Alligator mississippiensis: one gene and its partner. The main gene of each other region encodes a partner of the protein of the gene in region 2 in a complex. Links are inferred from orthologs where the notes say so. Each region holds a gene or a part of one and is shown on either strand. Other genes may lie near its edges. The genes, in order: CHEK1 and CLSPN.

Region 1 (16,039 bases), on a different chromosome or scaffold from region 2:
ACAAGATCTAGCCACCTCCACACATTTGTATTTGAGGTCAGACTGGGTACCCTTTAAATGTTTGCTAATTTAGAGAATTTTAGCCAGGTAGAAATGAATAAGGGCCCTTCCTCCACCCAGCATTCCCAAAGGTACAGGAAATGCTGACTAGTTACTTCCTAGTTAGTACATAAGAATACAAAGTACATAAGAATACAAATTAAAAAAAGAAAGTTATCATAAAGGGCGTAATACTGGCACCAATTTAACTGAGCAACAGATGGAGGGAAACTGTTGGTAAGAAAGTGTCTGGGATTCAAAGGGAGGTGATAGACCTAAAGGAATCCCTCAAAACATGAAGCAGTAAAGAGTACAATCTCTTTTTCTGCCTATGAATAATAATGCAGTGTAAAACAGATATTATAGCCAAGGGATAAAAATCAAACTACAGCCCAAGGTAGGCAAGTTACTGGAAACAAAAGCATATAGCATTTCTACCTGTGTGCACTTTTCAGTGGTGAGAAGTCCATATCAGATCGAATGTGCTTAGAAAAGCCACCTGGAGAGTCTGACAGACCCCCAGAAGAGACCCGGGCCCGTTTGATACCTGTAAAGAAATAATGCTATCAAGGATCAGGGGTATCATCTTGAGCGGGCACTAAGCTAAGTTACCCATTAAATATATGGTTGTAAAAGACTCCTTGCATTGTCAAAGAGTTTCCTGTGTTTATTTTACACACTAAAATATCTTAAATGTGAGCTGTGTCAAGCCCACTTTCATTAGTCATGAATCTGAAGGATGAAAAAGACTTTGCAAGTTCCTGAGCAAATAAAATATATTCAGAAAGCAACAATTTCCCATTCTGCTTAAGAGCACGTAAGTGCTGATGGCATTTGGCATCCTACCTCATGACTGAGGACATCAGCCAATTGAGTGTCATTAGACAGAGCTAACAGGCTCATGGATGCAAGCTCCTTGGGCCAGACCATGACATTAAAGAAGTGCCCACAGTTAATGTGATGACCTTGTGTTTAAAGAACGTCTTACATTCGAAAGCTTTTTCTAACTCTATTTCAACTATGCAGTTGGTCCAATAAGAAATGGCACTCTATGAAATCCTTGCCTTGCACATAATTCCTAGACAATCATTGTTACAACCTCACTATAACACTACTATGACAAAAATATCACACTTGGTTACCAGAAACATACATATATGGTTTTAAAATCAAATATGCCACCAGCATATAGAATGGCCGAGTTTAAATCTATCTTGAATTTCCTGCCATTGGTAGCTTTTCTGCTAGCTCTGCAAGGATTTGTACCCTAATGTGTACTCCCAACCTTAATTTCTTTATGCTGTTTACCTATAATTCCACAACTTGTTGTATAAAACACTTAGAGACATTTACCTTTCTTCAAAGGCCTGGTGTACCATCTGTCCTTTTTGATGTCTGAAATGGTTATCCTTGCTGTAGGGTTCTCTATCAGGATTTTGTGAAGCAAAGCTGGATATAGAAATGATAGATTAGCCATGGTAGAAGGCAGCTTTCTGACAAGCAAACTACATTTTCCTCAGGCCATTCTATTGCATAACGATGGAATTGTTACTTCTAGTTCCATCCCCCAAATCTGGTCCATGAATCAACTCGAACCTAAACGATTTTGATCACTTGAACATCATAAACATTCTAACACACAGCTGTCCAAGTTACTTGGCCTTGCAGGCTGGATCCAGAACACGGGTCTTTAAGTAGGCCAGAAAAATCAGCTTTGGCAGTGGCTTCTCAACACAGCTGTAGGACCTATTGGGCTGGCACAGCTCTGGAACACTGGGTAAATGCTGATGCCACCAGGAGCAATGCATAGGGGGTGCACGCAGGTGCATGTGCACCCCCCGAGTGTGGCGGTGCACCCCCTACAAAAAGGCACCAACTGCGGGCAGTCACCACTTGCCACCCCACTGCCGACAGCATCTGAAGATGGTCCACGATCCCTGCTGGCCACTGCCAATACTGTTGGCGGCAGCTGTAGGTGGTCGCCGACCCTCAGTCGGCACTCACCACCCCTCCTGCTGCCAACAGCGCTGGCAGTGTCTGTGGGAGCTCCCGCTTACTGGCACTGTGTCCCCACCAGCCACCAGGGTCACAAGTTTTTCATAGCTGCCACTCACCTGCCTTTTCCCTGTGCCACCAATTTGAGCCACTAGCAGCTACTGAAGACCCCAAATTTGATGGCAGGCACAGGGGTGTAGCATGAGCTGCAGCAGCAGCATTCACCCCATGGATTCTAGAGCTGAGCCAGAAGCCCTGTGGACTAAAATACAGCATAACACCTAGCAGTTTACATGCGGTTGGAGGTTGCCAGTTTGAAATCCCTGGCTTAACCCAAATTCAAAACCAGGGTTGTTGTTGTTTTTTGGGTTTTTTTTTAATTACTTTTAGCTTTATCTGTGGGTGGGCACATGCCAATCCATTTTTCAGTCAGACTGCGACCAGCAAGCAAAACCTCAAGTACAACACGGGTTTATGAAGGGAGCCTAGCAGATTCCTGTAGGCCTGCATACTTGTAAAAATGATTTGGGGAGATTTGAGGTGAGAAAGCAAACAAACAAATCTCAGACTGAGGTTTCAGGACACACAGACTATTAGCCCTCAGACTTTCCAGGATCCAGAAACATGGCAAGCAGAAATGGGGACTAATTATGAGGAACTGAGACCAAATTGCCTCAAGATTATTACTTTTAAAAAGCAGCCTACTTTCAGATATCTTCATAGACAGGACTTTGCTTAGTAAGTCATCTAGTCTAGCATCCTGCTCAAGGCAAGATCATTTCTAATCCAGTCTAGACAGCAAGCAGGAGCTCCCACAGACACTGCCAGCGCTGTTGTCAGCGGGAGGGGTGGCGAGTGCTACTGGGGATGACCTAATCGGCGACCTTCTGATGGGAAGCTGGGTGACAGCGACCACGAGCTGATCACCTTCACCATCCACCGTAAAGCTGGCAAGTTAGTCAGCAACACTGACGTCCTTGACTTCAGGAAAGCCGACTTTGACAAGCTCAGGAGGCTTGTCAGTGAAGCATTAAGGGACCACAACCCCAGGGTGAGGGGAGTCCAGGAAGAGTGGTTGCTCCTCAAGGGAGCAATCCCTCAATGCACAAGCTAATTCTATTCCATCTTGGAGGAAAGGCAGCAAAAGGGCACAGCAGCCCCCCGGCTCTCTAGCGATCTAGCAGACCTCCTGAGGCTAAAAAGTAAGGCCTACAAAGGATGGGATTTACCTCCAAGGAGGAATATTGTGCACTGGTCCGGTCCTGCAGGGAGCAAACCAGGAAAGCCAAGGCTGCAACTAAACTCCAACTAGCCTCGAGCATCAAGTAAAATAAAAAGTTCTTTTTCAGATATGTGGGGAGCCAAAGGAAAAACAAGGGCAACATTGGACCCCTGCTGAACCAGATGGGACAACTGACGCCCAGGATAAAGTCAACCTATTAAATGGGTACTTTGCATCGGTCTTTCATCAGTCCCATGGGATACCCAAGCCCACTACGGGACAGGGAGGTCCGGGTGAGGGAGATCCCTTGCCCTCCATCAATGCCGACCTCGTAAAGGAACACCTTGAGAGGCTGGATACCTTCAAGTCAGCTGGCCCTGACAAGCTACACCCCAGGGTACTCAAGGAGCTGGCAAGCATCATAGCCCAGCCTCTGGCACAGATCTTTGAGAACTCCTGGTGCTCTGGTGTAGTGCCCAAAGACTGGAAGAAGGCCAATGTGGTGCCTATCTTCAGGAAAGGGAGGAAAGCGGATCCGGCAAACTATAAGCCCATCAGCCTGACTTCTTTCTCAGGGAAGATCTTAGAAAAGTTTATTAAAGAGGCCATCCTTAATGGACTGGCCGACACCAACATCCTGAGGGATAGCCAGCACAGGTTTGTTGCGGGTAGGTCTTGCTTGACCAATCTCATTTCCTTCTACAACCAGGTGACCTATCACCTGGAGAAGGGAGAAGAGATTGATGTCATATATCTTGACTTCAAAAAAGCCTTCGATCTGGTATCCCATGATCACCTCTTGGCGAAACTGGCCAATTGTGGCCTTGGGTCCACCACAATCCACTGGCTGGGAAATTGGCTCCGTGGTCGGATCCAGAGGGTGGTGATTGATGGAAGTCAATCATTGTTGTGCCCTGTGACCAGTGGGGTCCCCCAAGGCTCTGACCTTGGACCCATATTGTTCAACTTCTTCATTAATGATGTGGACATTGGAGTCAGAAGTGGACTGGCCAAGTTCGCCAATGACACCAAACTTTGGGGCAAAGCATCCACACCTGAGGACAGGAGGGCGATCCAGGCTGACCTGGACAGGCTCAGCAAGTGGGCAGACGAGAACCTGATGGTGTTTAACACCAAAAAATGCAAGGTTCTCCACCTTGGGAGGAAAAACCTGCAGCACCCTTATAGGCTCGGCAGTGCTACGCTGGCTAGTACAACGGAAGAAAGAAACTTGGGGGTCATCATCGACCACAAGATGAACATGAGCCTGCAATGCGATGCTGTGGCTAGTAAAGCGACCAAAACGCTGGCTTGCATCCATAGATGCTTCTCAAGCAGATCCCGGCACATCATTGTCCCGTTGTGCTTGGCCTTGGTGAGGCTGCAGCTGGAGTACTGCATCCAGTTTTGGGCTCCACAATTCAAAAAGGATGTGGAGAAGCTTGAGAGAGTCCAGAGAAAAGCCATGCATGTGATCAAAGGTCAGGAAAACAGACCTGACGACGACAGGCTAAGAGCTATGGGGCTCTTTAGCCTGGAAAAGTGCAGGCTCAGGGGTGATCTGGTGGCCACCTATAAGTTTATCAGGGGTGACCACCAGTATCTGGGGGAATGTTTGTTCACCAGAGCGCCCCCAGGGATGATGAGGTCGAACGGTTATAAACTACTGCAAGACCGTTTCAGGCAGGACATAAGGAAGAATTTCTTTACTGTCCGAGCCCCCAAGGTCTGGAATAGCCTGCCATCAGAGGTGGTTCAAGCACCTACATTGAACACCTTCAAAAGTAAATTGGATGCTTATCTTGCTGAGATCCTATGACCCCAGCTGACTTCCTGCCCTTCGGGCGGGGGACTGGACTTGATCTTCCAAGGTCCCTTCCAGCCCTAACATCTATGAAATCTATGAAATCTGATATAAGGACTGGAATTTAGCCTAAAAACATGACTGAAGTGGGGTAGGATTCACTTACATTCTTCAAAAACAAAAAGGATAGTTAAAAGGTTGGCAATCAATTACTCTCCACATCCAATTGGAACAAGCAGCATAAGGCTAAAATTGTAAGAAGGGAGATTAAGGTAAGATTAGGAAGCACTTTTTAAACTCAGAGCCCATAGGGAGGTTGTGAAATCTCCATTTACTGGAAATTCTTAAATACAAGTCAAACAATCATTTCTCTAGGCTGGATTAGAAATGATCTTGCCTGGAGCAGGATGCTAGACTAGATGACTTAGTAAGGATCCTTTCAGCCCTATTTAGATTTGATTCTGTATCCCTTTGGAAATTATTACAGTCACATAGATACTAGACCCCAATTCCCTACTACTATACAATGGTCTGGTCATCTGCATGCGCGATATGAAATACTACTAGATCAGCAGGTCAATAGATGAAGCTACCCAGGGAAGCTATGAAAACTCTTGTCATTGAAGGTTTGCAAAAAGGGGCTAAAAAGGCATCTGGATGGGGTAGGTTAGAAAGAGCATTTTCTGCATCTCTGCAAGGGGTTGGACTACCATATTGGTCCCTGAGGTCCCTCCAATCCTATGATTGTGAAGTTATCACAACTTATACCTATTTTGCACAAGGAAGCAACTGCACAGAGTTCCAGCAGTAGAGAATCAGGTTCCTAATCTTCAGTGGGTTTGTTCCTATTGCTATGACTACTAGAGAGTAAGGAGAGAGACTGCTAAATTATCTTGGTCTTAAGGTAACACTACTGTTGAATCTTACCTCATCTCTAGACCCCTCCACAAGTGTGTACAAAACCCACTCGGTATCCCAGGACTTAATCCTGTGAGACTCTGAGTCTGTGACAGAATCTGGCTTGTGAGAAGATGGGCTATGTCTGGAAGAATAGCCAGAATGTTTTCTGGAATATAAATCACACAATGCCAACACTTCTTCCCCTGCTAAACTCGCTACTGTTGTATGCAAACAAAATGCATTAACTCAGTCAGCTGACTTACCTAATGGTACAGAATCAATCTTCTTCCAGGGGGGAAGGTATGTTTTCTTTTCCTTCCAATCACAATATTCTTGGCAACTGTTACTAGGCTGGTCCCATGGCAATTCTGCAAGTAAAGAAGGCATAATATGCCTTTTTTTTAAAAATAGGCCTATGAACATAACTCTAAATCAAAATGTTAGGAGAGCTAGGGAAGGATTTTCAAAGAAAATTGATCTTAAAATAAATGGACATTAATTTGCAAGGAAGGGAAGAGATGAAACTACCCTGAATGCAGTTACAGATTGAGATCCCGTGACCCTTCTGTGAAGTCATCAGCCCCTTGCTCAAAATAGTTACATATACAATGGCATCCATTTAAAAACATATCCGACCTCATCAATTGGCAAGTCAGTGGCAACACAGGAAAATTCACATAGCAACGTAACCAAATAAGCCCAAAGGCTAAGAGCTATAATCCCCTTTGTGATATGTGCTAGTGAAACACAGCAAGCTTTTGGCTAATACAGTGATTCTCTACCACCTTAGATACAAGGCACCCCTTAGAAAAATGCCAGCTCTTAGTTTGCACTCATTTTAAGTGTGGAAAAATAATAGAGCAATTTTCCTGTGGTAAAGAACTTGGGAAGACAAAAGGATGGAACGGTTTTGACACTGTGGATTTTTATTTGAAATCTCTGCATTGTCTTGTGATTTACATATATCAGTGCTAATATTGCATGAACTTCTACATGCTTAAAAGGATCTTGTAGCACCCTGGTTAAAGATCACCAAGCTGGAGGATCCCTCAGGAGGACCACTACTGAATTGGATGCCATCCTCCAGGGCAAGAGTGCATCACAGATTGCATGAAGCCGATTTCACCCATAGATCTTCTTAAAGATCCCACAATACCTTATAGAAAAGTTCTAGACAGAAACCCCTACCCTTTTTCTTTTTTGAAACCAATGAGGGCCCCCTGGGCTCTGTAGCTACTGAATTTGCTACTGACATTTAGGCACCATAAAAATCTGCTCCCTATTCAAGACCATGGTGGGACATTGCACACCTCGACAAACAAACTGACTGATACCCCTCCCCATGTCCCGAGTTCATTAGGACCAGTTAAACTAAGCACACCTCTCTTTCATACCACGTGGAGACAAAGCATCTGTCAAGTATTACTTTGGCAAACCTGCAAACACATTCTAATTAGCTTTATGTGCAATGAAAGACAATATTTACAAAAACCACAGACCCAAAGCAAAGATATGGACAGCAACAAGAAAAATAAATAAATAGAGGAATAATCAGCTTCAGTGGCCTTAGGAAAGCTGGTTTGTTTTCATCTTTTTAGCTCCTTAACAGTACTCTCTCATGTGACCAAGAACAAGAGAGAGACAGGAAAACAAAATGATTCTACAGGAAATAAGAGAATATAATGAATAGTTTACTATAATATGGAAGTTTAGGGAAAACTAACATACTGCTTCCCAAATGCCACCTTCTTCTCTGTGGAATGGGACTAATTCTGTCATCTGTGCAGATGACAAGTGTTTGTTCTGCAATCCTACTGCACTGTGAAGCTGCTGTAAACATGCACATTAGAAGACAAGTTGCACAGTGATAAGAAAATGACCGATTCCTACCTCCTGCCAACATAGCAGTAAGTACTATCCCACAGGACCAAATGTCAACTGGTTCTGCATGGAATTCTTTTCTTTTTAGCAGTTCTGGGGCAACATATGGGAGAGTGCCACACATCTTGTTTAACAATCGTTCACGACCGTTGTGTTTAAACACAGTAGCCAAGCCAAAGTCGGAGATTTTGAGGTTATCTAAGCAAAAAGAAGCACACAACAGTTAAGTACACCAAGCAGCAAGGTATTTTTCCACCTTCTTTGTTAGTGGTGTCTAACATATTAAAACTAATTTCAACTAGAAAAATTAAACTAAAGAGCCCACTTGCATCTACTTCAAGCCACCATTTTGCCAGATAAGCAAAGAGGGACCTTGATATAAATAAAGATCAGATATATTCATTTTTTTGGTTATAGACCACAGGAAATTTGAACAAATGACCTGAAGCCTGAAACAAAACACTTGATCCAGACACAGCTGTGTTATAAGGAAAAAATACTAACAGTTTACGCAGAGATTTCTTGTTTTAGAAGGAACAGCCAGGAAAGACGGCTGTTTTTAAAAGTCCGTTCCCCCACCCCAATGTCATCTTCGATTATTAAAATTAAAATTGTGGAAAGCTATTTTTTCTTTCCACTGTAACCTGATCACACAATGTTCTGGCAAAGCAGAGGAAGGATCCACATCATTAGTCTATTCCAGTTTCTCAGATCCTAGATCCATACTGTAATATTTTGGTTCTAGGACCCTACAAGAAATATTTTTGTTTTAAAAAGTTTTAATAAAAGCTTTACCCAAAGGTCCTAGAAGCATTTCTATCACTCCTCAAATTCTGTAGAAACAGCTTTTCAAGAAGGTATCATTTTTCCATAGGAATGTTCTTTGAAAAGGTGCCGGCATCTCTGCAGAGACCAGCCTCTGCTCCAGAACACCTAGACAGGTTTACCAAATTTGCATGTGGGCAGGGGAATGAATGCAAGTCCTGGAAGCATGAATCAACTTTTGCTCAACTAGATTGCTCTTAAGCCTGCAGCATCCTCAGAAAGCTTGAAGTGTTTTCAGTTTCACCAACAGACACAGACTTTCTTCTTCCCTTGTACACCTAACCACCAAAATTTAAAGGGAAAACAAAATAACTAGCTCTAGACGTACCTCTGTCATCTAGCAATAGATTCTCAGGCTTAATATCTCTGTGGGTTATACCTATACCATGGAGATACACCTTAAAAAGAAAGAGAGAGAGAATCTTGAATCTTATGATTTATATGATCCCAAATGAAAGTTTTAAATAAATGTAGAAGGCAAATACTTACCACCCCAGCAATAAGCTGATGGAAAAACTTCTGTGCATCTGATTCAGGCATTCCTACATCAGGCTCTGAAAAAAGTCATTCAGAATCCACTTAACAAAAAAAAAAAAGATCCACACACTTCTAGCATCACAAACAAACATGATAGGGAAAAGAGTATCTTGCCAATGTTTCTGTCCTCTAATATATTTGTTTGTTCCTTTCCATATCGTCTCTTTCCCCCCTCAGAAGCTTTCAACCCCCAAATTCATCTCCCTCCTCCTCCTTCCACAAAGGGCACAGAAGCTTTAACACTAAACTAATTGGCAGAGTTATCAAGAGACCTATACAAGAGCTGGATGACCTCTTGTCCAAGGGCAGACAAGCAATAAGGCAGCTCCCATTAACCTTAGAAGCAAGCCTCCATATCGCCATCCTTTTGGCTAATGCAAGATATTGCCCCCAACATCTACAAGCAGGGGTGAGCATCTGTGGCTCACAGAGCCATCTGAGACAGCCCAGGACGATGAAGCTTCAGCAGGATTCAGCAGCAGGTGGCTTCAGCTGCCCCTACACCCACCTCTGACCCGAACTGGGTCACTCCAGCCTGCAGCCTAAAGGTTGCTGATGACCACTGCCTAAACAAGTCGCCAGGTTCTGCTTACGCAAAACTATCCTGTGCAAAAACTATCGACATTTCTGGTACCTAACTGTTGCTCAGATCTTTCCAACAGTAGAATGAAACCAATTTCCTTCTGGCTCTACTGCTGCTCATTAGAACGCAAATAGTAATAATTAAGACTGACACATCGGTTCGGTGGAAAGCCAAGAGCTGCAGCAAAGGCACTAGAAGTCTAACATACGAGCATATTTTCTTGACGTCTGTATCTCACTTCACCCTGTTTATTTTCAGAAGACTGACTTTTGCAACCATAAGGACTAGGTTTTTTTCCTTTGAAATGAAATATCAGAATATATAGAAACTGGAAACACTGGCCTTATTAATCCCAGCTGAGTGAATTTCTCAAGTCGGCATAGTTTACTTGTTTAAATTATCTCTCCCCGTGAAAAACCATGACGCTGAACTTCTAGTGGGATTAAGCAATAATTGACAGATGTGAACTTAACCGTGTACAGAAATTCTTGCCAATTTCGATGGAGACTTCCTTGAGGCGCACAAACTCATGCTAAGCAGGATCTACATGTTGCCAGGAGGACACACCAGCTAAACACCCCGCGCGTGGCAAGCTGGGGGGCGCGGGAAGGCAGATCGGCGCGTGCGGGCGGCGCGGGAAGCCGCTCGATGTGCTCTACCTATTCTGTCGAAGAGCTCCCCCCCTCGACAGTACTCGAGGAAGAGGTACTGGACGTGGCCTTCTCGCCGGTGCCCGTAGAACTTCACGATGTTTTCATGATTGAGCATCTTATTAATACAAATTTCTTTCTTGATGTTTTCTGGACAGTCGGCAGCACGTTTCATATCAACTATTTTGACGGCAACGGCTTCCTCCGTGCGCCTGTTGACGGCCAGCTGAACCCTGCAGGGAAACGAGAAACATCCCTCATGAGCCTCAACTCGAGCAGGCCCCCCTCCCCGCCCGGCAGGAACCACAACCCCCCCCCACACACACACACACACACACACACACACACACGGTCCCCGCGCAGCGCCCGGCCGGAACCCACACCCACACCCACACACACACACACGGCCGCGGGGTCGGACCGGCTACACCCCACCTCAGCCCAAGGGGTCTGTCTCCGCCACCGTCAGCGGCGCAGAGCCACCGCCGGCCGCCCGCGCTCCCCGCCCCGCCCCGCCTCATGTCTTCCTTCCTGACAGCGCCCGCTTCCCGCTGGACACCGGCCTCTGCCCGCGCGCCCCCGCGCTCACTCTCCGTAGGCGCCCTCGCCCAGCGTCTGCACCAGGTCCCAGTCCTCCACGAAGGGCACGGCCATGGCGGCCGGCGGCGCCCGGACCCGGACCGGACCGGACCAGACCAACCCGCCCGGCACGGCACGGCACGGTACGGCGAGAGGAGCGCAGCACAGCCCCGCCCCCACCCCGAGCGCCCGCTCCGCGATTCCCGCCCAATGGCGGCGCCCGCCGCCGCATCCTTCCGTCCGCCCCGCCCCCCGGCCGGCCAGGGCCACGCCCCTTCCATCGCCCCGCCCCGCCCCCGGCCGGGTCCCGCCCCCTTCCATCTCCCCGGGCTGGCGGGAAGCGAAGCCGGTTCCTTATTTCGGGCGTCGCCAAACCTGCAGGATTACCCCGGGGTCTGCAGGAGCTAGAAACCCGTGCCCGGCAGAGCGCTGAAAGCCACCCGGAGACCTAGGGATGGGCCTCCATTAAAATGAATATTACATGTGAAATCCTGTTTCTACCGTCGGCCACTGCATAGGCAACGCGTGGGGGGGGCACGTGCCCCCTGAGGTTGGCAGCTCACGGGCCCCTGGACACTGACACACCGTAGGCAGTCCCCACTCACCGCCCCCGACACCGCTGCCACCTCCCAGCCTCCGAAGGCGCGCGCTCTTCGCGGTCCGGTGGCTTTTTAAAACGTAATAGTAAGGTGCGTTTGCCTTCCTGAGGTGAAGTCCACGTGCCGTCATCCGTAACCGATGTACAGCAGCATGCGGGGCGGCGCATGTCGCGGGCATGGCGGCGGCCCAGAAACCTCTCGGAATAGGTTCAAGCAGAGTTGGCAGCCCTACTTGTTCCCAGGTCCCATTTCAAAGCGAATCCTTACACTGTTCAAGGTTGTTAGTCATGAATGATGCTGACTGAAGAATCAGGACTTCATCAATGGATAGTTGCTAATAAAACTGTAAAATAATATCATGCATCAAGTACATAGCCCTGAAATTAGGCTGTGGCAAATCCCTTTCGGGCCACCACAAAACACGCCTATGGCACCAGGGGACAGCTCTGAGCAGGGCGCTGCCCGGCCCGAAGCTGGGTTTCTGCAGGCCAAGCTGCCCACTCACAGGCCTCAATTAGGAACTGGGTTTGGGCTAGGATAATGGGTGGAAATCCTTCTTGGATCACCCCCAACACACGTCCCCACCCTAGGAGGTCTCTCCCAAGGAGCCTGGGCAGAGTCCTACCCACCCCGAAGCTTGGTTTCTGTGTGCCAGGCTGCCTAGACAGGCCCCCAGGCCTGAATAAGGAGCTAGGTTTGGGCTGGGATTACTGATGGAAAACCTCTCTGAGTCACCCCAGACAAATGTCTCTGCCTTCAAGGGGACTCTCCTGAAGAAGCCTGGGTAGAGCCTGCCCGACCCAAGGCTCAGTTTGCAAGTGCTAACCTGACAACTGAGGCCCCAAGCCCATGTCCTCTGTACCTAGCCCTGAATATGAAACTGAATTTGGGCTGGGGATATCAGGTAAAATCCTCTCCCCGTCACCCAAGAACACACGTCTGTCACCAGCGGACTCCCCTGAAGAAGCCTGGGCAGAGCACTACCTGACCCACAGCTCAGTTTTTGCGCACCAGCTTGCCAACCGACAGCCTCCCAGATTTGTGTGCTATGTATGTTCCTGTGAATAAGAAGCTGACTTTGGGCTGGGATTATAGGGCAAAATCTTTTTTGGAGCACCCCAAAACACTCCTCTTCACCACCCAGAGACTCTCTAGAAGAAGCTTGAGCTAGTCCATGCTCGACCCAATGTTTGGTTTGAGTGCCAGCCTCCCACCTGCCACCCACCTGCCAGTACCTGCATGCTAGGTACATTGCTTTATACAAATATCTTATTTTGGGCTGGAGTTATGGGGCAAAACCCACTTTAGATCACCCCAAAACCCACATCACCACCACCAAGGGACTCTCTTAAAGAAGCCTAGGCAGGTCATTGCTTGAACTTGAAGCTTGGTTTTTGAGTACCAGCCTGCCAATTGATACCCACCCTGTAAGGCCTGCACATTGCTGTTTCGCCAGGTGCTAGACAGCAGTAAGAATGGCTGCATACAAATATAGGGGTTTTATACCAACTTTTCAAATTTACCTCAAGCCCCAACCCAGAAATTTGGTAAAGTAAATGTGTACTGGGTGTTCTACCATGAACAAAACCTGCCCATTTGCAAGCAAATGTTAAATTAAAACAGATTTATTACAAGGGAAAAAGGGAACAAGGGGACACCCTAAGCAAAATGTTAACTATTAACCTTTAACTGTACCTCAAAATTGATCACAATCTTAGCAGTAAACCAACCTGGGGAACTACTACCTGGCCCAGTGACGTGGGAAGGGATCTCACCCAGGGCTGCCATCCAGGAGCTATACCACGTGTACCGGTTTAGTAGTAAATTCTGGGTAGGGAGACCCACCCTGGAGGCCCTGTTTCTCAAGTAGCCCTTCAGACAGTTATACCCTCTGCTTACTAATGAGGGTAGGCAGACGAAGTGAAATGACAGTTTTCACTATGGAACATTACTTTAGTCAAACATACAGAACTTAATCAGGGATACACATGCATAGAAATATGAATTTTTAATACATATCACTATGAGCATGGAACCTATTTGAAAGAATGGGGACATAATGGCATTATTTGACAACTTGGTTTGGGTTTAAACCACATTAAGAATTACAGTATGGTTTTTCATCCATTTTTCTTATTAAACATGCAACAGTCTTCTCAGGCAGAAATATAGGCCCATATAAGGATTTTTGGATAAGCACCTGCCATCTCTTTTCACTGTGAACGTGTGAAGTTATTCATTTGGAACTATTAGCCAATCTCACAAGACAATAGAATTATGCCAAGACATTAGGTTGCTGAAAGTAATATGTGGTTGAAAGATTCATAGATTCATAGATGTTAGGGTCGGAAGGGACCTCAATAGATCATCGAGTCCGACCCCCTGCATAAGCTAAGATAAAGTGAAGCTGAAGTGATCTCTCCAAGGTGCACAAGCCTGGGCGGTGTATATGGAGACACTGAGCTGTCCACACACTAGCGTCCCCCTCTCCTCCCAGCCTTGCTGGTTTACGCTAAAGGAGAGGCAGGCGGCAGTATGTTTGGAACCAGCTGGGCCGCAGGAGCTGCTGGAACAGAGATCGTCCATTTGTTCAATCGAGGCTCCAGTCCTAGACTGACTGTCAACCAGTCTTAAAGAACCCTGTCTACCCAGTCATGGAGTGGACTTCAGTTCCCTAAGTTTTTGATGACCAGATCAGGAGGATGAAATAAATGAGGCTTTCTTTGGACAACTAGCAGAAGTTTCCAGATCATAGGCCCTGGTTCTCATGGGGAACTAGGAGGGCAATATGGCAGGGCATCAGTAATCCAGGAAGTTTTTGGAGACAACTTCTTGGTACGAGTGTTGGAGAGACCAACCAAGAGCCATGATCTTTTTGACCAGCTGCTCACAAACAGGGAAGAATTGGTGGGGGATGCAGAAGTGGATGGCAACTTGGGCAGCGGTGACCACAAGATAATCAAGTTCAGGATCCTGACAAAAGGAAGGAGAGGAGGGCTCGGAAGAACAGCAGAGTATGGACCCTGGACTTCAAAGCAGACTTTGACTCCCTCAGGGAACTGATGGGCAGGATCCTATGGGGGGGGGGGGGGGGGGGGGGGCAGTCTGAGGGGGGAAAGGAGTCCAGGAGAGCTGGTTGTATTGTAATGAAAACCTCACCGAGAGCACAGGAACAAACCACCCCGAACTGCAGGAAGAATAGCAAATATGGCAGGCGACCAGCTTGGCTTAGCAGGCAACTCTTCAGTGAGCCTAAACACAAAAAGGAAGCTTACAAGAAGTGGAAGCTTGGACAGATGACTAGGAAGGAGTACAAGTGTTGCTTGGGCTTGTAGGGATAAAATCAGGAAGGCCAAAGCACAGTTGGAGTTGCAGCTAACAAGGGACAGGAAGGGTAACAAAAAGGGTTTCTACAAGCACGTTAGCAACAAGAGGGAGGTCATGGAACATGTGGGTCGCTTACTGAATAGGGGAGGTAACCTAGTGACATATGATATAAGGCTGAAGTGCTCAATCCCTTTTTTCCTCAAGTCTTCACAGGTAAGGTCAGCTCCCAGACTACTGCATCAGGCAGCACAGTTTGGGGTGCAGGTGAGCAGCCCCCAGTGGTGAAAGAATGGGTTAGGACCTATTTAGAAAAAACAGATGCGTACAAGCTCATGGGGCTGAATGCAATACATCTGAGAGTGCTGAGGGAGTTGGCTGATATGTTTACAGAGCTGCTGGCCATTATCTTTGAAAATTTGTGACGATCGGGGGAGGTCCCAAACGATTGGCAGATAGAGTGCCCATCTTTAAGAAGGGGAAGAAGCAGGATCCAGGGAACTACAGACCAGTCAGCCTTACTTCAGTCCCCAGAAAAATCATGGAGAAAGGCCTCAAGGAATCCATTTTTAAGCACTTAGAGGAGAAAAAAGTAATCAGAAACAATCAACATGGATTCACCAAGGGCAAGTCAAGTCTGACCAACCTGAATGCCTTCTATGAGATGAGTGGCTCTGTGGATGCAGGGAAAGCAGTGGACATGATATACCTTGACTTTAGCAAGGATTTTGATACAGTCTCCCACAGCATTCTTGAAAAACAAGTCAAGGAAGCATGGGTTGGATGAAAAGTGTCAAGTGGGTAGAAAGCTAGCTGGACCATTAGGCTCAACAGGTAGCAATCAATGGCTCGATGTATAGTTGGCATCAAGTGGAGTACTCCAGGGGTCAGTCCTGGGGTCAGTTTTGATCAATATCTTCATTAATGATCTGGAAGTTGGGATGGATTGCAACATCAGCAAGTTCACAGATGACACCAAGCTAAGGGCTACAGTAGATATGCTGGAGAGGAGGGCTAGGATTCAGTGACCTAGACAAATTGGAGAAGCAGGCCAAAAGAAATTTCAGGAGGTTCAACAAGGACAAGTGCAAAGTCCTGCAC
Region 2 (16,744 bases):
CTTAGGCAAATCTCATTACAAATTATTCTTAGAAAAGTGATATAATATTTTAGGATCTAATCCATAAAAATGGGGGGAGGGGGTCAATGTTGTTTGATTTGGAAGTATAAAGTAATACAGTGACCCAAGCTCAGGATATTCAAGTGGGTACTCGAAGAAAGGTCAATGAATATAATATTTGGGTATTTGTTCCAAGATTAGATTACTGTTAACTGAAAGCTTAAAATAACTTGATTTATTCATTGATGATTTGGGTATTATCATCCAATTTCATTAAAAGAGTCTCTATTCCCATAATCAGAGATATCCAGCATTCTATTGATAAATATATATGTTTAAATCCATGTTGAAAATCGACAAATTTCTGGTTTTGGGCAGAGCCCATATATCTCTATAAACTTTAAAGAAAGCAGATGGTGTAGACTAAATGCTATTAATAAATATAAATGTATAAATGTAACGTTTTACTACAATTATAGAATCTCAAAGTACTAAGCAAAATCAAATTAATACAGAATCACCATCTACCATTGAAACAAACAGCCTAAATTTTCAAACGTGGGTGTCTAAATCTTTATTTAGAAAACTAAAGAGCAACCTATTATCCATCTGCTGTACAACCATGACTGCTAGTGAAATGCAGCAGAAGATTCTTATGCCCACCAGTTCTGAAAGTCAAGTCATATACTGGGCAACTAAAATCCCCAGATGCTCACCTTTAGGCACCAAGACTAAAAAATGTTGGCCCTCTTGGTGCCTATTTCCGGTATTAACTTATTTAACTGCATGGAGATCTGTAGTAAACAAAATGTCACTACACTTCTTAATAAGAGTTTCATGGGTTTTTTTAAGCACCATAAGGTATCAGGCCTTCTGTTTTACATCTCATCTAAAAGAAAATGCCAACACCAGCACAAAGCAGAAACCTAAGTTCTGCTCAGAAGGAAGTATCTCCCCTTTCTGAACTGCTAACATCTAGCTGTTCCCAGAGGTCTGCCTTCTAAAGTGCCGATTTGACCTTGCTTAGCTTCTCGGATCTAGCAACAGGTAATGCAGTACCTTTGTTTGATTCAGGCTCGTCAAGGTTAATAAAGGAATCCTTGTCAGAACAGAGTCTTGGTTTGACAGATAGGTCGACTCCCAGCTCCCGAAGTTTATCCAGCTTGGACTTCCTTACTTTTTCAGGCTGTGCCATTACTACTGAAGCCACCTGTTGAACAGGCTTGTCACATTCTACACCTGTTTTTTGCAGCTGGTCCTCTCTTTGTTCAAGGGCACTTGCTTCAGATGCCAAGGAAAGTTCACTCTCCATTTGCTCCCTACATTGACTACTCTGCAAGTCAGAAACCTGCTCTTCTGAATTAACAGCAGTTGTTAGGCTCTTAAGAGTATCCAAGGCACCATCCTGCCTGTGCTTTTCATTACAATCTTCTCTCAGATTCTCCTCCACATCTGTGGAGGGTTTATCCGCAAAGGTGTCAATATTCTCATCGAGTCCTGTTTCCAGCTCCCTAGCTGTTGCTTGACCAGCCTCTGTCCAAGTGTCTTTGATATTCACACTTGAGGTCTCAGTGTCTGCACTTTCTTCATTTAGGCAGGGTTGATACTTAGTAGACCTATAAAGAGCAGAAAGCGAGTCGTAACCCAACATACACTTTCTCATCCTTAGCTTGACTGGCATGAGATGGGAGGGTAGGGGAAGGATGAGGGGGGAAAAGACTAAACCAAACAAGAGAAAGGAACAGTGGTAATTTCTATGTCTGCGTATAATGCTGCACTTAGTTACATGAAAAAACTAGGTCGTTTCTACAATGCCAGTTAGAGTGGTTGCGGGAAGCAGGACATGAAGATTTTAAATGCCCAGTCTTTAGTTATTTAATAATTAATACATGATTCTTTTGTTCTAGGTTTATTTAAAGGGAAAAAAGGTATTATATTTTGAACAAGGTTTAAGTACACAGCATTATTAAAAACCTTCTCAAATAAAATTTGACTTTGCATAGGGCAATGAGTTTTAAACCATAGCTATAAATTTGGATTTGAAGGACAGCATGGGATACCTTCACAAAAAATTCAGACTGGACTAATGACAGCACATTGCTTTCAAGTTTTACTTCTTTATAGATTATGTAGCAAATAAACCCAGTTAGGGGAAATATTCTGTCATTATATACAAAACTAGCAGATCAGCCACTTCGAACTTTGGCTCTCAAACTATGGTCTTCAGACCACTGCTAATCCCCACATCCCAGACTTCTGGTCTGTGAATCACTTCTTATTTTTCAGCTATTACACTACATTAAAATGATACTCAAGGAATATCAAGGAAATCCCTAATTTTGCATGAAAGTAGTTGCTGCAGGTGCCCCGATAGCAATACATGATTATAAACTGAAACAGAAACTACATACGAAGTAAATTACTTAAGCAAATCAAGAACCGGACATACAAGACAACATGAGACAGAAGAGTTCCTTACTTCAGCAATGCCATAGCATTTCCCTGACAAGCTGGTCTAGGTCTACGCTTGAAGAACTCATGTATGGTTTTGGTTTCAGGCACATAATATGGGAGCGACAGACATGATTCTACCAAAGGAAATAAGAGTCATTTTAGTCACGTACTGAAGCGGCAGGCATTTTCTCAAATATTCAGATGAGCCTGGCACAAGTATTTTGCAACTAAGAGATCCAGCTAGACATGAAGAGCAGAGCTTAACTCCAATATATAAAACATGTAGCTGTTGGACCTCTATCCAAACACCCACAAACTGCCCTGAAGAATAAGGCCTGCAACATACCCAAGAACTCAGAATAAAGTGGACTGAGCTACCAGTAACAGAAGAACAAGACCCATTCTAATTACTTGGTATAACTAAGTGCCCAATACACATGAAGTCAGTTACTTCTAGTCCAGATTTAAACTTTAAAAAGAAGTCTCCAAGAGAGACTTCCAAAGTTGTTTAAAGACAAGTTGTAGTTTCCAGAAAGAAATCATGCTTGCAGTGAAATGCGTATTTTGATATAATCTCAGGAGAAACAGCTTTGCAGCTTATCTAATTTAAATTCTGAATACCACATATCAAGCAAGAACAAAGTCCACTGCTTTGATTGACACTCCTTTTCTGTTGCCTTCCTAAGGAAATTTCATCTTACATTTAACACAAGTGGTTCAGGTTTTACCTCTTACAAGTCTCTGGCTCTCACTATGCAGTTGTTTCATGGCTTCTTTACTTAACCTTGCTGCCTTCCGCTCCTGAGAGAGAGAAGAAAACACAGGACTGAATATAGGCGTAGTTCTACAAGTTCAAAACAATGTTTTTGAAAAAGTTTTTCAAAAGGTTCCCCCCTCCCCACACACACACTTTTTAAGCAGCAGGGAAACACAAGAAAACAGAAATAAATCTTTAAAATATGCTCATCACACTGATTCCGTTCTTGAGCACCAAGTAACACCTTCACATAAAATTAGTATTATGGACTAGTGAGAATTAAAAGGAACTAAGAAGCCTAAAGAAATATTTTACCTTTCTCTTAGCTCTTTTCAATGTGGGTTCCTCATTCTCATCATCAAATACATGTTTGTAATTTTGATCTTCAGAAAACAAATTCTTACCCTATAAAAATGGATTGATTAATTTCACTGCATAGCGAGGAGCTGTCAAAAGCAAAATGCAATAATGTTGTGCAATGATTTTCTGTATCATCGTTGTGAATTTCCATCTGCAAGCATTTTCAGAAACAGATATAAACATTATACTGCAAATTCTTCAACTGCCTCCACAACAATATTCTTTTTGGCACCTCCTATGACATTAGTGCTTAAAGAAGGCATTTCTGTTCCTACACCCCTAGAAACAAGACATTAGGGGCTATTTTCTTCATGTAGAAGTGGAATGGCATCAGTGTCAACAAAAGATTGATATATGCGCTAAGGTACAAGAATAAATTAAGTTACCTTATGTTTTTTCACTTTGCCTTTCACTGCAGCTCTTATTGATTCTAGTGACTCTTCATCTTCAGGATGGGAATCATTTTCTTCCTCTAAATCATTATCAAAGAGTTCTTTGTCAGCAAGAAGACACCCACTATCATTAATAGAATTTTTCTCACCATTATCTTCCTGCTGAGTAAAAAAAGCAACATTTAAAAACATTATTACTTCAGAAGCTCACTTACAAATATTTGAAAGACATCTTTACAATTTCAGGATAATTGATAAAAATCCCATCCCATCATTCAGACAAAAAAATAAGTAACTTTCAAATAAATTCTGTAGTCAAGTCTTTATATTACAAAATTAGGCCAATGCAGGTTCTCAACTTCTGCAATCAGGAGAGACAGGAAAAGAATTATGTAAAACTCACCAGGGCTCATAGAGTCCTGCACAGACCATAGATTTGACAATTGTGCATAGTTAACAATATTTGCCCACAAAACAGCATTTCTTAAGTGTTAATTTGCTGCCATTACTTGTTACAGCATAATCATTTGATTGCTATGGAAGGCAGCTATGATCAGTTTGGTGGAAACAGATGCCTAATGCCTTGGAATGGGAAAAAAAATCCCTAAATTGTCAACAACAGGCCCATGGATAAATTTGTACTTGTAACCTAGCAGTCATGAGTTGGCTTATGCCCAGGGGAGGCTTACCAACACCTCCTACCAGATGCTCAGTGAGAACAGGGCTCTGATGTCAAGCACAACCCACATCCTCTTTCCAAGGATGGCATGATAGTAGCTTGGCTCCACAGATGAATGGGTTTGATAGATTTCATACCTTACATCAAGCCAAGGCCACAAGCCCTGTTGTATCAGGAACTAAAACAATTCATGTTTTGAAACAAGCTGAACCATTATCATCCCAGCTATGTGTTGGGCTGCCTCTAGATTGGCAAGCCCACCTTAAGGACTGATACTTTAAAATGCCAATTAGGTTGGTGGTATCCTGTCTGTAGACTCTTGTGGAAGTCCAAACTGCTAGTGGGTTGTGAGTACACAAATTTCATTAGAGGTTTTTAATTACCATCACCAAATGCTTCAACTGTATTTAACCGGACTAAAAATATCAAATGTTTCTCCAAACATTTATACCTTTTGTTTCCGTTTCTTTTCTTTCTTCAGTTCTCTAATAGCCTCCATTTTTTTTTCTTTTTCCATCCTCCTCCTCCTCGATTTCCCCATTGCTTTTTTGCCCGTTTCACCCTCAAAATTACTTTTGTGTTTTTTGTATTGTTTCGGAGATGTTGGCAAAGTCGCCACCTGTGAACCCAAATCCAGCTCATTCTGAGTCGCATCAGACTGCTCATCTATTTCAAGGTTTTTGTGATCTAATGTGTCACCAATATCACTCTCGTCACTGTCCAGCAGAGCCTGGCGAATCCGATGTTTTTTGTTCTTTCGGGCAATAAGATGCTCTTTTTCCTCCCCGCTCTTAACATCTTCAGCTACAGTGTCCGTCTTCTCAAGGGAGCAGCCTCTCTCTTCCCCTTCACTCTCACTGTCCTGAAGCACCTGTTTGCTTTTAGATTTTTTACTTACAAAAATCTCTTCCTCTGAATCTGGTAGAAACATAGAGCATTCTTTATACCATAGATCACAGATTGTTTATAAAAATTCATAGGTCCGTTACCAAATGACATACTATGCCAGACACTGTTCTCCATTCCCAAACTAATTAGTGACATTCCTGTGTTTTATGTAGCCTGTCTCTTACGTAACCAAAGCAAATAGTAACATACTGAAAGAAAACTATAATGGACATGCCATGGTCCCAATCCTGCAAACATTCATGCTGTTCTATACAGAGCGGTTCAATAAAAGCCAATGTGAAAACTGCTTTTTCTACTATATGATAGTTAAATAACAACATGCATTCCTATTCTAACTGCTCTTTGTAAATGCATGATTTCCTTTATCTTTTTTCCCGCAACACAAATGTTCTTTTTCAGGATATATAGAAAAACCTTAATGGAGCACTTCTTGATCTTCTTCTATTTGACTTCGAGTCCAAAATGCCAAAAAAGTACAGGGAGAACAATCCGCTGCAGTGTAGCAGCAACCTTAACTGCATTTCAGTGACAGAAAATAGAATTACTTAAATGTAATTTTAGCTTATGTTTTCTATGTAAAAGCCCTGCAGCCCCATACTTAAAGCTACTAATGAGGCTGGCATGAAAATTTTAGGCATATTATGGTTTACAAAATTCAGGTTTAAGATCAGGAGGAAACTGATTCATCCTACTACTTCATATGTTGACACGCAACACAATGTATTTTCAGGATCCCATTTTATCCTGTCACTTCCCCATCCAAGCACACAAGAAAAGGGAAACAGCACTGAGCTCTAACTTTAAACCATGATTAATCTACACTATAACTTTTATCCAAAAGTGAAAATTGTAAAAAGCATGATCACAGATATCTACTGTGCTCAGGGTATTCAAGGGGGCATCAGGAAATTTAGAACTTGTTAATGGTATGTCTACAGACAAATTCTGCTCTCAAGGTACAAGCTCTATATTCTTGTTTCCCCGTCCCAGAAGCGTTTCAATTCAGCCAGACTAGAACTTCATAAACTTAGAACTAACTCCCCTCTCACCAAAATACACACACACACACACACACAAGTTAAAGGAGTCAGATTCACCTGGGTTAACTATGCAACTCATAAAAGGCAAGGAAATAAAGCAATTAAGATATTCAAAACCCCATCCCCATTTCCCTTTCTCAACCACAACTACCACCTTTTTACCATTTACAGATCTCTACCCACATCCTGAACAACAAAGGCACTCTGAATTCAAACCATATGTATCTGTATATGTTAATGCATTGTGATGGTTCGTATACAGTTGGTGTGGCTCTCTCAAGCTATATCGTACATAGCTGTGGTTCATTTTCAATGAACCGGTAAGCACAATGCAATGTCAGACTGCAAATGGTGGCTGCAAGATATCTTCTCATGTAATAGCTAGAAAACTGCATTTGACTGTATAATTTGTAATAACTGTCCTGAAGTTAAATTAATAAATATTTCAGAATTAAAAGTCTGGATTCATGCATGAATAGTGACTTCTGTTAATGCCAGAGATAAGTGTGCATTACATACTCTTGACAGTGAAATATGTCAACCATTACATATGCCACATCTTTATAACCCAACAAGGAAAAAATAATTCATACAGATAGCATGGAAAATATTTCATAGACATTGGGGCTGGAAGGGACCTCGCGAGATCATTGGGTCTGGCCCCCTGCCCAAGGTGCTGGGGTCAGATCACCCCAGCAAGATAGGCATCCAAGCGTTTCTTAAAGGTATCCAGAGTAGGTGCTTGCACCACTTCTGGGGGAGTCTATTCCAGACTCTGGATACTCGGACGATAAAGAAGTTTTTCCTTATGTCCAGTCTAAAACGGTCTTCCAGCACTTTGTAACCATTAGACCTTGCCTTTCTTTGGGGTGCCCTGGTGAACAGTTTCAAAAGAAACATTACTTCTAACATAAAGTACAGGACCATGTTCTCTCAACCTTCCGCAAAGGTAAAACTATAAAGTACAAAGAACAATCCCAATATTTAGGGGGAAGAGAAAAACCTCACATCTAGCCATAGAGATCTCTTTGTATTACAGACCTCTGTCATCAAGAGACGCAACTTCCTTGTTGGAATGTCCTGGAGAACTTGTTTCACAGCTGCCCTGTCCGCTGTCAGAATCGCCGTCATAAGCTTTCTGCAAGTCAGGTTTTAGCTCCTCTACACCTAAGCAAAGCTAAAAGCCAAGAAGAAAGTTTATTTTCATACAGCATGAGCTATTTAAATTCAAATAGTTCATTGACCTCAGTGTCATCCCAAATTATAGTCATGGGAAAGCAAGGACCTCCCAAGGTCATCTAGTCCAGCCACAATCATCCCTGGCTAAACAATCCCAGCCAAGGTTTGCCCAACCTGCTCTTGAAAGTATCCAGGGATGGGGCTCCCACTTCTCTAGGTAGCCTGTTCCGATGTCTGACCACCCTCATGGCCATCAATTACTCGTTGATACTATAGTCATAAGATTGATTTGGGTTTCAGACATTCAAACAAAAATTACTATATGCTATGTCATTTCCACTACTGTACAGTTCCCTTGTGAAATTCTTAGTTCGTATCAAAGCAAAAAACAAGTATTGTCCTGGACACTGTCTGGTGGCCACAGCTTGAAACTAGCCAGAAACTCGCAACTTTCACGTGCCAGAAAAATACTTTACGAAACTTCACAAAAAGCAGCATCCTCGCAGTTGAGTAACAAAACGTTCTTCATTGCTCTGCGCAAGGGGAAAAGGGCAGGGTACTGGAGAGATCAGCATCCCACCTCCCTGGCCCCATCCAGCACAGGTGAGCCCACTCAAGTACAACCAAGGGCACCAGGTAGCCCCAGGGCAGTGCCCAACCAGGGATGCTTCCCAGCATGCCCCGCGGAGAGCGCTCCCAGCATGCACTGGGGCAGCACCGAGGCGCATGTTGGGAAACGTAGTCCTCTTCAGGGCGCGGGAGTTACGAGCCGCAGCGGCTGCTTCGCGTCCCGAGACGGCCTCCCGGGAGGGGCCCGCGGGGCGGGCGGCGACTCCCACTACCAGCCGGCGGAGCAAAGCAGGCCTACCTCAGGCGCTGCCGCCGCCATGGCGCTGCTCGACCCCGCTGTCCCGCCGCCCGCCAGGAAAGCCGCTTCGATTCTTCGCGCTCTGCCTGGGGCTGATCCCGCCTCCCAGCCGGAGCCAATCACCGCTCGCTCCTCCCTTGAGGCCCCGCCCCCTCAGATCGCCTCATTGGGCCGTTAGCTCGGTAAACCCCGCCCCCTCCTCTCAGCTGCCCAATACGAGTTCCGTCTTAACAGGATGTCTCCGCGCCGCCGCCAATCCTCTCCCGCTGTTGGCTTTCGTCTGCTCTGTGGAGACAGCGGTCCCCAGCGCGGGCCGCTCTAGCTGGGGACTCTATGATCTTGGCCCTAGGCATTGGCAGGGTCGTTCTGCAGGGGAGCAGCTGGGACTGGCCTGGAGCAGGGCCCAGGGAGACCTGCCAGGCTGTGCCCCTTGTGGGGGGCATTCCCAGAGTGCCCTGTACAAGTGCCCTAACTTGACCTGAGCAAATGACCTGATAAAATATTTGTTTGCATTGCGCTGCATTTGACTGGCGCATGCTGTGCCTCGTACTCAAAGCAAGGCCGGAGACCAAGCCTGCCACGTCCTGCTGGAGCTGGACATTCATCCTGCTGTCGTAGCTGGTGTTTCATCCGCGCCGCCCGACAGAGCCTGAACTTGCTCGGATCAACGTCGTGTTGCGGGTGCCGCAGGACACCTTGGAGAGGAGCTGGGTCACCGGGGGACCCAGAGGCTGTTCAAGCCACTGGGTTGGAGATTAAACTGAGCCCCCCGCTGTCATGGTGCTTCTGCTCGGCCGCTTGTGGGCTCGGATCGAGTGTAGTCTCGCTGCCCGAGTCAAAATGGATTTACGTAGGGCTGCGCGACATTTCACCACCGGTTTTGTTTCAACGCTAGCAAAATCGAAACGGAATGGATATGGTCGAAACAGCCTCGAAATAAAATGAGGCGATAATAGGGAAGGTTGAAACAGGCTATAACTTTGTCATTTCTGGCCTGATTTGGATGAAACTTGCAGGAATGGTAGCCCCTTCTGAGGGTGTGAAGTGTGCCAAGTTTCAAGAAGATAGGTGCAGGGGGTCAGAGAAACTGCACCCCAAAGTCTTGAGAACCAAACTTGTGTCACATGTACGTGTTAAGCCACAGCGGGGTGAAAACTGCAAGGGTGGTAGCTCTTACTGAGGCCACCAAGCCTGCCGGCTTTCAAGGAGATAGGTGCAGGGCTTTGGGGGAAACTGCACCTCAAGCTGCGAATAAGCAAAACTCGTGACACGGGTGTCACTGTGTGTGTTAAAGCACAGCAGGGTGAAAGCTGCAGGGGTGGTAGCCCCTGCTGCGGCCATGAAGCCTGCCAGCTGTCAAGGAGATCAGTGCAGGGGTCATGGCTTCTGGGGCGTACATCTAGGGCTCAGTGAACAACTGTTCACCAGGGCACCCTTGGGGAAAACTAGGAGTAATGGTCAGTCTGGACACCCTAGTTGTGAAGTAGTTTTTCCTAATGTTGAGCCTGTAACTATCTTCCAGGAGTTTGTGACCATTACTCCTAGTTTGTTCACCGAGCCCTAGATGTACACTTCTGACGTTGCGGTAAGCTGTTACCAAGTCCCCTCTGAGCCTTCTTTTTCAGCCTGAAGAGTCCCAGGTCCCTCAGCCTTTCTTGTGTGGCTTGCCGTGCAAGTCTCTGATCATGTGAGTGGCCCTTTTCTGGACTCTCTCAAGCTTTACCATGTCCTTGTTAAGGTGTGAAGCCCAGAGCTGGACACAGTCCTCCAGCTGTGATCTCACCAGTGCTGAGAAGAGCCAAGTAGAGCAGGAGAATCACTTCTTTGCAATGGTTTTGCTGGAGATGCATCAATTGATGCATGCCGGCATACTGTTGGCCCTGCTGGCTACAGCAGCATACTGCTGGCTCATGTTCATACTATGGTCAATTATTACCCCCGGGTCTTGGTGACAAGTGATGGGGGGATCTTCAGTCCTGCTGCCTGATGAGCGGCAGCAGTTGCACAAGCACCCATGTCACGAGTTTTGCCTGTCAGCAGCTAGGGGTGCAGGGCCCCAGAACCCCCCTGTACCGATCTCCTTGACAGCTGGCAGGCTTTGTGGCCGCAGCAGGGCCTAGCAGCCAGGCCTGCAGTGGTTCCCCCTCCTCCAAAGACAGACACAGTTGCACGAGCACCCATGTCATGAGTTTTGCCTGCCTGTGGCCAGAGGTGCAGGGCCTCAGAACCCAGAAGCCCCTGCACCAATCTCCTTGACAGCTGGCAGGCATCGTGGCCACAGCAGGGGCCACCATCCCTGCAGCTTTCATCCTGCTGCGCCTTAACACACACAGTGTCACCCATGTCACGAGTTTTGCCTGTCAGTAGCTTGAGGTGAAGTTTCCCCAAAACCCTACACCTATCTCCTTGAAACTTAGCAGGCTTTGTGGCCTCCGCAGGGGCTAGCATGTCCACAGTTTTGACCCTGCTGTGGCTTAACACATACGTGTGACACAAGTTTTGCTTTCAGGATTTTGGGGTGCAGTTTCTCTAAACCCCCTGCACCTGTCTCCTTGAAACTTGGCAGCCTTTGTTGCCTCAGCAGGGGCTACCAGGCCTGCAGTTTTGACTCCACTGTGGCTTAACACAAACGCATAAAATTTTACAGAATATTAAAATAAAATGGTACTTCTCCTGCGGGGATGTCTGCTGCCTTCCTCGCTCTTGCTACATGTTGTTCTGCATCATAAAGCCACCACAGAGCCAAACAAGGTGTTGAGCACATCATGCTGAGCTGGTGGGGGAAGGTGCACCATTAATCTAAAACTTTGCATCGCATTTTTTTAACTTGTATTTAAATGAAATAGCTTTATTCTACAGAGAAAGCAATGGTTCACAGAGTCGCTCAGACCTCACAGTGCAGTTATAATTTCCTGGAGCGGCATTGTGACTCTGCAGGAATGGAGAAGCTAGATCCTGGCGTTAGAAAAACCTCCAGTGAGCAAAGTATCTTGAAGATGTTGTTTACCAAGTAATGCAAGGCTAAATAAGTGTTCCAGGGAGAAATGGGGAACCAGCAGTCGCTGTATTTTAGTGTCAGATGGAATAATGAGTAATGATACTCAGCTCCTTTACTGTGTAGCATTTTTCATCTGTAGACTTTAAAGTGCTTTTGAAAAAGAGGGCAAGCAAGTCTGTGAATTAATAAAGGACTTTGAGTTCTTTTGGCATGCTGTGTAAATACAAACAGGGAAGAAAAATAGACCTGCTGGTGCTTGCAGGAAAGTCAGTCTGTCCCTTTTCTACTCAACCTCATGTTTCAGGGCTGCCTATATAGAAGGGACCGAGCCAAGCGGAACGCTTTGCCTGCTGCTATTATCCTTGATACATGACAGTTTGGCTTCTGTTGCTACTAAACTCTTCAACTGCTAGATGGCAACACAGATTAAGGGAGGCGACACTGCAGATCACAGATTCCTGGGAGTCTGGGATTTTTCTGGATAGACACTGCCAAAAGAAACATGTTAACAAATGCTGAAGTCCATTTACAGTCAAACATAGAGCTGCTTTGGTATGTTGAAAGAGCCTGGGAGTCACAACAAGCTTGTTGTGAAAACGATGCATACAATGGGATTGGGTCTTAAACAGCAACAAGGGAAGATACAAAATAGCAATCGCTAGCCAGCCAAAACTTTTTGTTTTAGATTTTAAAAAAGGTCATGGGGTGGAAAAGGAAAGGGCACTTAGCTGCTCAGTCTGAAAGCTCATACCATCGTGGAAGAAACCTAAAATGTGAAGTGTATTTGAAAATAAAAGAATGGAGCAGATGAGCTGTTAGATCAGGGTCGGGCAATTATTTCAGGCAGAGGGACGCTTACTGAGTTTTGGCAAGCCATCGAGGGCCGCATGACAGGCAGCCAGGGGCAGATAAATACTCAGTTTCTCAATTTTTAGGGGCCCTGTAGGTGGGATAGAAAAACCTGGTGGGCCACATCTGACCCACGGGCTGCATTTTGCCCACCCCTGTGTTAGATGCAGAGGTGGATCCAGAGGGGGTGCAACAACATGGTTGCATCCCCCTTTGCACATGTTGCATGTGAGCTCTCAGAATGGTGTCTGCCCAAAGACCCTATTTTCACACTGCTCTGGAATCAGGGGTGAACAGTTCCATGCTTGTCCCCTCCTTTCCCCTGCTCTGAATTCATTTTCTGATAGGAGGAGAAGGCAGAAAAACCGCAGCATCCACCCTCTGGAGTCCAGAGCCACCTGAAAGCACAAATTCCAGCCACATCGTCCCCAGAATATCTGGATCATACAGAGCTCTGGGACAGGCTGGGGACCGCTGACTAAGTAGCAGCTCTGCAGAAAAGGACCTGGGGGTTACAGTGGACAATAAGCTGAATATGAGCCAGCAGTGTGCCCTTGTTGCCAAGAAGGCTAATGGCATACTGGGCTGCATTAGTAAGCGTGTTGCCAGATGATCAAGGGAAGTGACAGTTCCTCTCTATTTGGTACTGGTGAGGCCACATCTGGAGTACTGTGTCCAGTTTTGGGTCCCCCACTACAGAAAGGACGTGGACAAATGGAGAGGGCCCAGAGGAGGGTTAGGGGGCTGGGGAAAATAACTTCTTGAGAAGCAGAGGGAACTGGGCTTATTTAGCCTGGAGAAAAGAAGATGGGGGGTGGGAGGGGAGTAATAACAGTCTTCATCTACCTGAAGGGTGGTTACAAAGAGGATGGAGCTAGACCAGGGGTGGGCAAAATATGGCCGTGAAGCTGCTCATGGGGCCAAGCACCATTGGAACCAGTCCGCACTGCACTCCAGCCTGCACACACCCTGCACCCGCTGACGGCACTGCCCCAGCCAGTATGCACAGCTTCTTAGCAGCTGCCCTGGTAGTACTCGACTCCACGCACCTCCAGCAGCTCTTCCTCCTTCCCCTGCTATGCTGCTCTAGGACCAGGTGGCATGTCAGGCAGCACATGCCAAGCCAGGCAGGGGGAGGCTGCAGCTGGGCAGCTCCTGCCCCAGCATGTGGGGCTCCAGCTCCAACTCCTGGTTGCTTTCCACCCACTCAGCCACCTGGCATGATGAGCAGCCATCTGGGGGTGGCCAAGTGGGTGGAAGGCAGCCCTGCTGGGAAGTTGTGTGCACTGGCCAGGGCTGGGGCAGGTGGGAGCGTGGCACAGTCTGACTCTGGTGGGAACAGGAAGGGCAATCGTGGACTGAATGGGGACGAAGGGAAGGAGTGAACCGCACTTGCCCCTGCACTGCGCTGCACTGCCTAGGTGAGCTCTGCTGCATGCATCCCCTTTCCCTCCTCCCTCCCTCCCTCCCCACTGCCCTGGCCAGGTCTGGGGACCTAGTGCATAGGCAGACCCCCCACACACTTGCACCCCACTTCCCACACACACACACACACAATATAAACAGTAAGACTATTTTGAGCTATTATGCAATTGCCTCTATATATACCACTCAACAAAACATAAATCAGGACTAAAAATATTTTTAAATAAAAATATGTCATAGTAAATGTTCAATTTTTAATATACAATTTGTTTTTTATCTATCATTTGTTAAAATATCTTCTGAAAGATTTTGTGTGCACAGCCTTCAACAGCTCACCAAAACATGTCAAGTGACCCACCAACCAAAATAATTGCTCACCCCTGAGCTAGACCGTTCTCAGTGGTGGCAGATGGAAAAACAAGGAGCAACGGTCTCAAGTTGCAGCAGGCTCTTTCAACTTTTCTTAATATCCAACCTAAACTTTCTCACTAAAAGAGTGGTGAAGCACTGGAACAGGTTACCCGGAGAGGTGGTGGAATCTCCATCCTTCAAAGTTTTTAAGACCCAGCTACACAAAGCCTTGGCTGGGATGATCTAGTTGGGGCTGGTCCTGCTTTGAGCAGGGGGTTGGACTAGATGACCCCTTGGGGTCCCCTCCAACCCTCATTTTCTATCATTCTGTGACCCCACACTGACTGGGCAGGAAGCTCAGAGCTCACTGCCTATGGCAGCAAACCAAAGTGGGGTGATCCTCACCCACCTTGCCCTGTCCAGACTCCTCTACCAGGTAGAGGCCCTTGCCAACGCAAGGTTCTGTTCATTCCAACAGGTACCTAAGAAACATCCTATATCCAAAATGTAACAGTTCTTAATACTATGAGTAGACAGGCCACTGTAAGGAGACTGTAAGCTTATTTCTAACTTGCTTCAATACTAGTTGAGGAATAATTTTGAACACTTTCATAATTTAAAAGAAAATACATTGTTAGTTTTAAAATTCACTCTCTTAAATAACAAACTGCCTTGCCGCTCTAATGTGTGGGCGGCTGTTGAAACAGGCACTCTCGGCATAATGCCCGTTTCTTGGTGTCATGTCATGCCTAAGCTATGCTCCAGCCTTGACAACTCTTTCTCACATGAGTAGGCATTTTTCATATTAGGCCTATGGACCCAAATCTTCAAAGAGCCTGAGCGCTCTGGCATCAGCCCAGCAAGATGCCTGAACCTAGTCTTATAGTTTAGCATGGGAACAAGCTTGTTGACTTTGCTAGAACGACTCGTGCTTAGGTTAGGTACAGATATAAGTGCTTTGTTGGACTGTGACCAGAGTGTACCATACTTTGCAGGATCCAGCAAAGTATACAAGCCTTGGGACTGGAGCTGTATCTCTGTTCTTTGTAAAGTATAGCGCTGTTTTAGGATAACACACCAATGCTAAATAATAAGCATAAAACCATTGCCAGCTGTCACAATTTTATTGCCAGTCTTGTGATATTCAATGTTTTCCTTAAAGCCCGCCCCCTCTTGGTGTCAGGTAATTTCATAAGAATCTCAGTTTTCTTTAGATTTTAATGTAGGCTTCTGGCTGTCGCAATGGTGGAGACTGAAAATGCAAACATGACAGGTTTAAAAACCAGAAGGCAATTAAAGTGAACCCTATATTTAATCTGAAAATCAAGTCATGTATGTGATAAATTTTTCCCACCGTTTACAGTGAACATTAAAGCCAGCAAAGCACAGCTTGCCAGTGGCTCTGACAATACATTTGAGCAGATGAGCAAAGCTGAGACCCATAGGCATGTTCAATCCAGCTGCAACAGATGTAATGCTCTTTCTTTATTGGCGTAGCAAGCTAAGAGCATGCTGCCAAAAGCAGCTTGTCTTGTCTGGTCTCAAGAGCCTCCATATTCCATAATGATACTTTATACAGTCAAGAAGGTAATCGAGAGAGAAACGTTGTCTGGCCATGTACCGTTCAAAAAACAAGCATGTAGAATCAATAATGCTGTGAAGCCAAAGATGGGGTTTTCCACAGTTACTGTTCTAGGTGAGGGGTGTCAAACTCACCTCCTGGCCCATGCTGGATCTGAACTGTAGGGCTCCTTGTGAGCTGGATCCAGCCCAGGGCATGGGGTGGCTTGGGAGGCAGTGGTGCTGGCAGTGGCAGCAATGGCATCTATTCCAGTTTCTGCCCAGTGCATGTGGCAGTGGTGGCTCCAGCTCCCACCATGTGCCATGCACCCCTTGCCAAAGCTGGAACTGCTGCTGCTAACACATTTCATGCCAGAGCACTGGCTCTGGCACAAAGCTGCAGTGGCAACAGCTCTGGCTCAAGCACAGGGCATGGTTCACATGAATGTGGCAGGTCCAGCTTTCACCACGTGCCCTGGGCTGGAGCTGAAGCTATTGCCACTGACTCATGTTTCAAGCCAGGGTGGCAGCTCTGGCTCTAGCACAGAGTACGTGGTGGCAACAGCTGTCTCCCCCTCTGACGTGGGGCACAAGTCATGTAGTGCCAGTGGCAACAGGGCCAGCTGCCAAGGAACTGGGGCTGCAGCAGTGGGGACAGATGAAGTGGCCAGCGGGCAACAAGGGCTGTTTTAGCCTTTAATCGCCATCCTGCCACTAATTGCCATGTCCACCAGGGCCCAACAGCCCCAGACTCTGTGGCAGACAACCCCCGCTGGCCACACTTGCCAACTCCCGCTGATCTGTCTATAGCCTGGCAGCCTGGATACAGTGACTCCATGTACAGTCTGTGAGCCTTCTTTTTGACACCCCGTGTCTAGGCCTTTCACATGGACAAGAATATTGCTTAATGACCAGATTTGTTC

The links.
Region 1: the proteins of CLSPN (region 2) and CHEK1 are in contact, whole or in part, in a crystal structure (PDB 7AKO), measured with the Homo sapiens proteins. The link is inferred for Alligator mississippiensis from reciprocal best matches to the Homo sapiens genes CLSPN and CHEK1. Residues at the interface, in NP_071394.2 of Homo sapiens: Glu938, Leu940, Leu941, Leu943, Cys944, Ser945, Gly946; in NP_001107593.1 of Homo sapiens: Lys53, Lys54, Cys57, Met61, Arg129, Thr153, Val154, Phe155, Arg156, Tyr157, Asn158, Arg160, Glu161, Arg162.

Annotation. Positions count from the first base shown.
Region 1 is NC_081839.1:21,780,028-21,796,066, forward strand, and holds the start of CHEK1 (serine/threonine-protein kinase Chk1), read right to left. Parts: upstream 11,192-16,039; 5' UTR 11,091-11,191; coding exon 11,026-11,090; intron 10,670-11,025; coding exon 10,446-10,669; intron 10,410-10,445; exon of another isoform or gene 10,318-10,409; coding exon of another isoform or gene 10,260-10,317; intron 9,221-10,259; coding exon 9,156-9,220; intron 9,065-9,155; coding exon 8,995-9,064; intron 8,040-8,994; coding exon 7,851-8,039; intron 6,329-7,850; coding exon 6,224-6,328; intron 1,489-6,223; coding exon 1,393-1,488; intron 587-1,392; coding exon 478-586; intron 1-477. UniProt on the Homo sapiens protein: Serine/threonine-protein kinase which is required for checkpoint-mediated cell cycle arrest and activation of DNA repair in response to the presence of DNA damage or unreplicated DNA.
Region 2 is NC_081829.1:8,910,698-8,927,441, forward strand, and holds the start of CLSPN (claspin), read right to left. Parts: upstream 8,730-16,744; 5' UTR 8,660-8,729; coding exon 8,639-8,659; intron 7,769-8,638; coding exon 7,633-7,768; intron 5,561-7,632; coding exon 5,094-5,560; intron 4,126-5,093; coding exon 3,958-4,125; intron 3,617-3,957; coding exon 3,527-3,616; intron 3,256-3,526; coding exon 3,183-3,255; intron 2,589-3,182; coding exon 2,480-2,588; intron 1,617-2,479; coding exon 1,060-1,616; intron 1-1,059.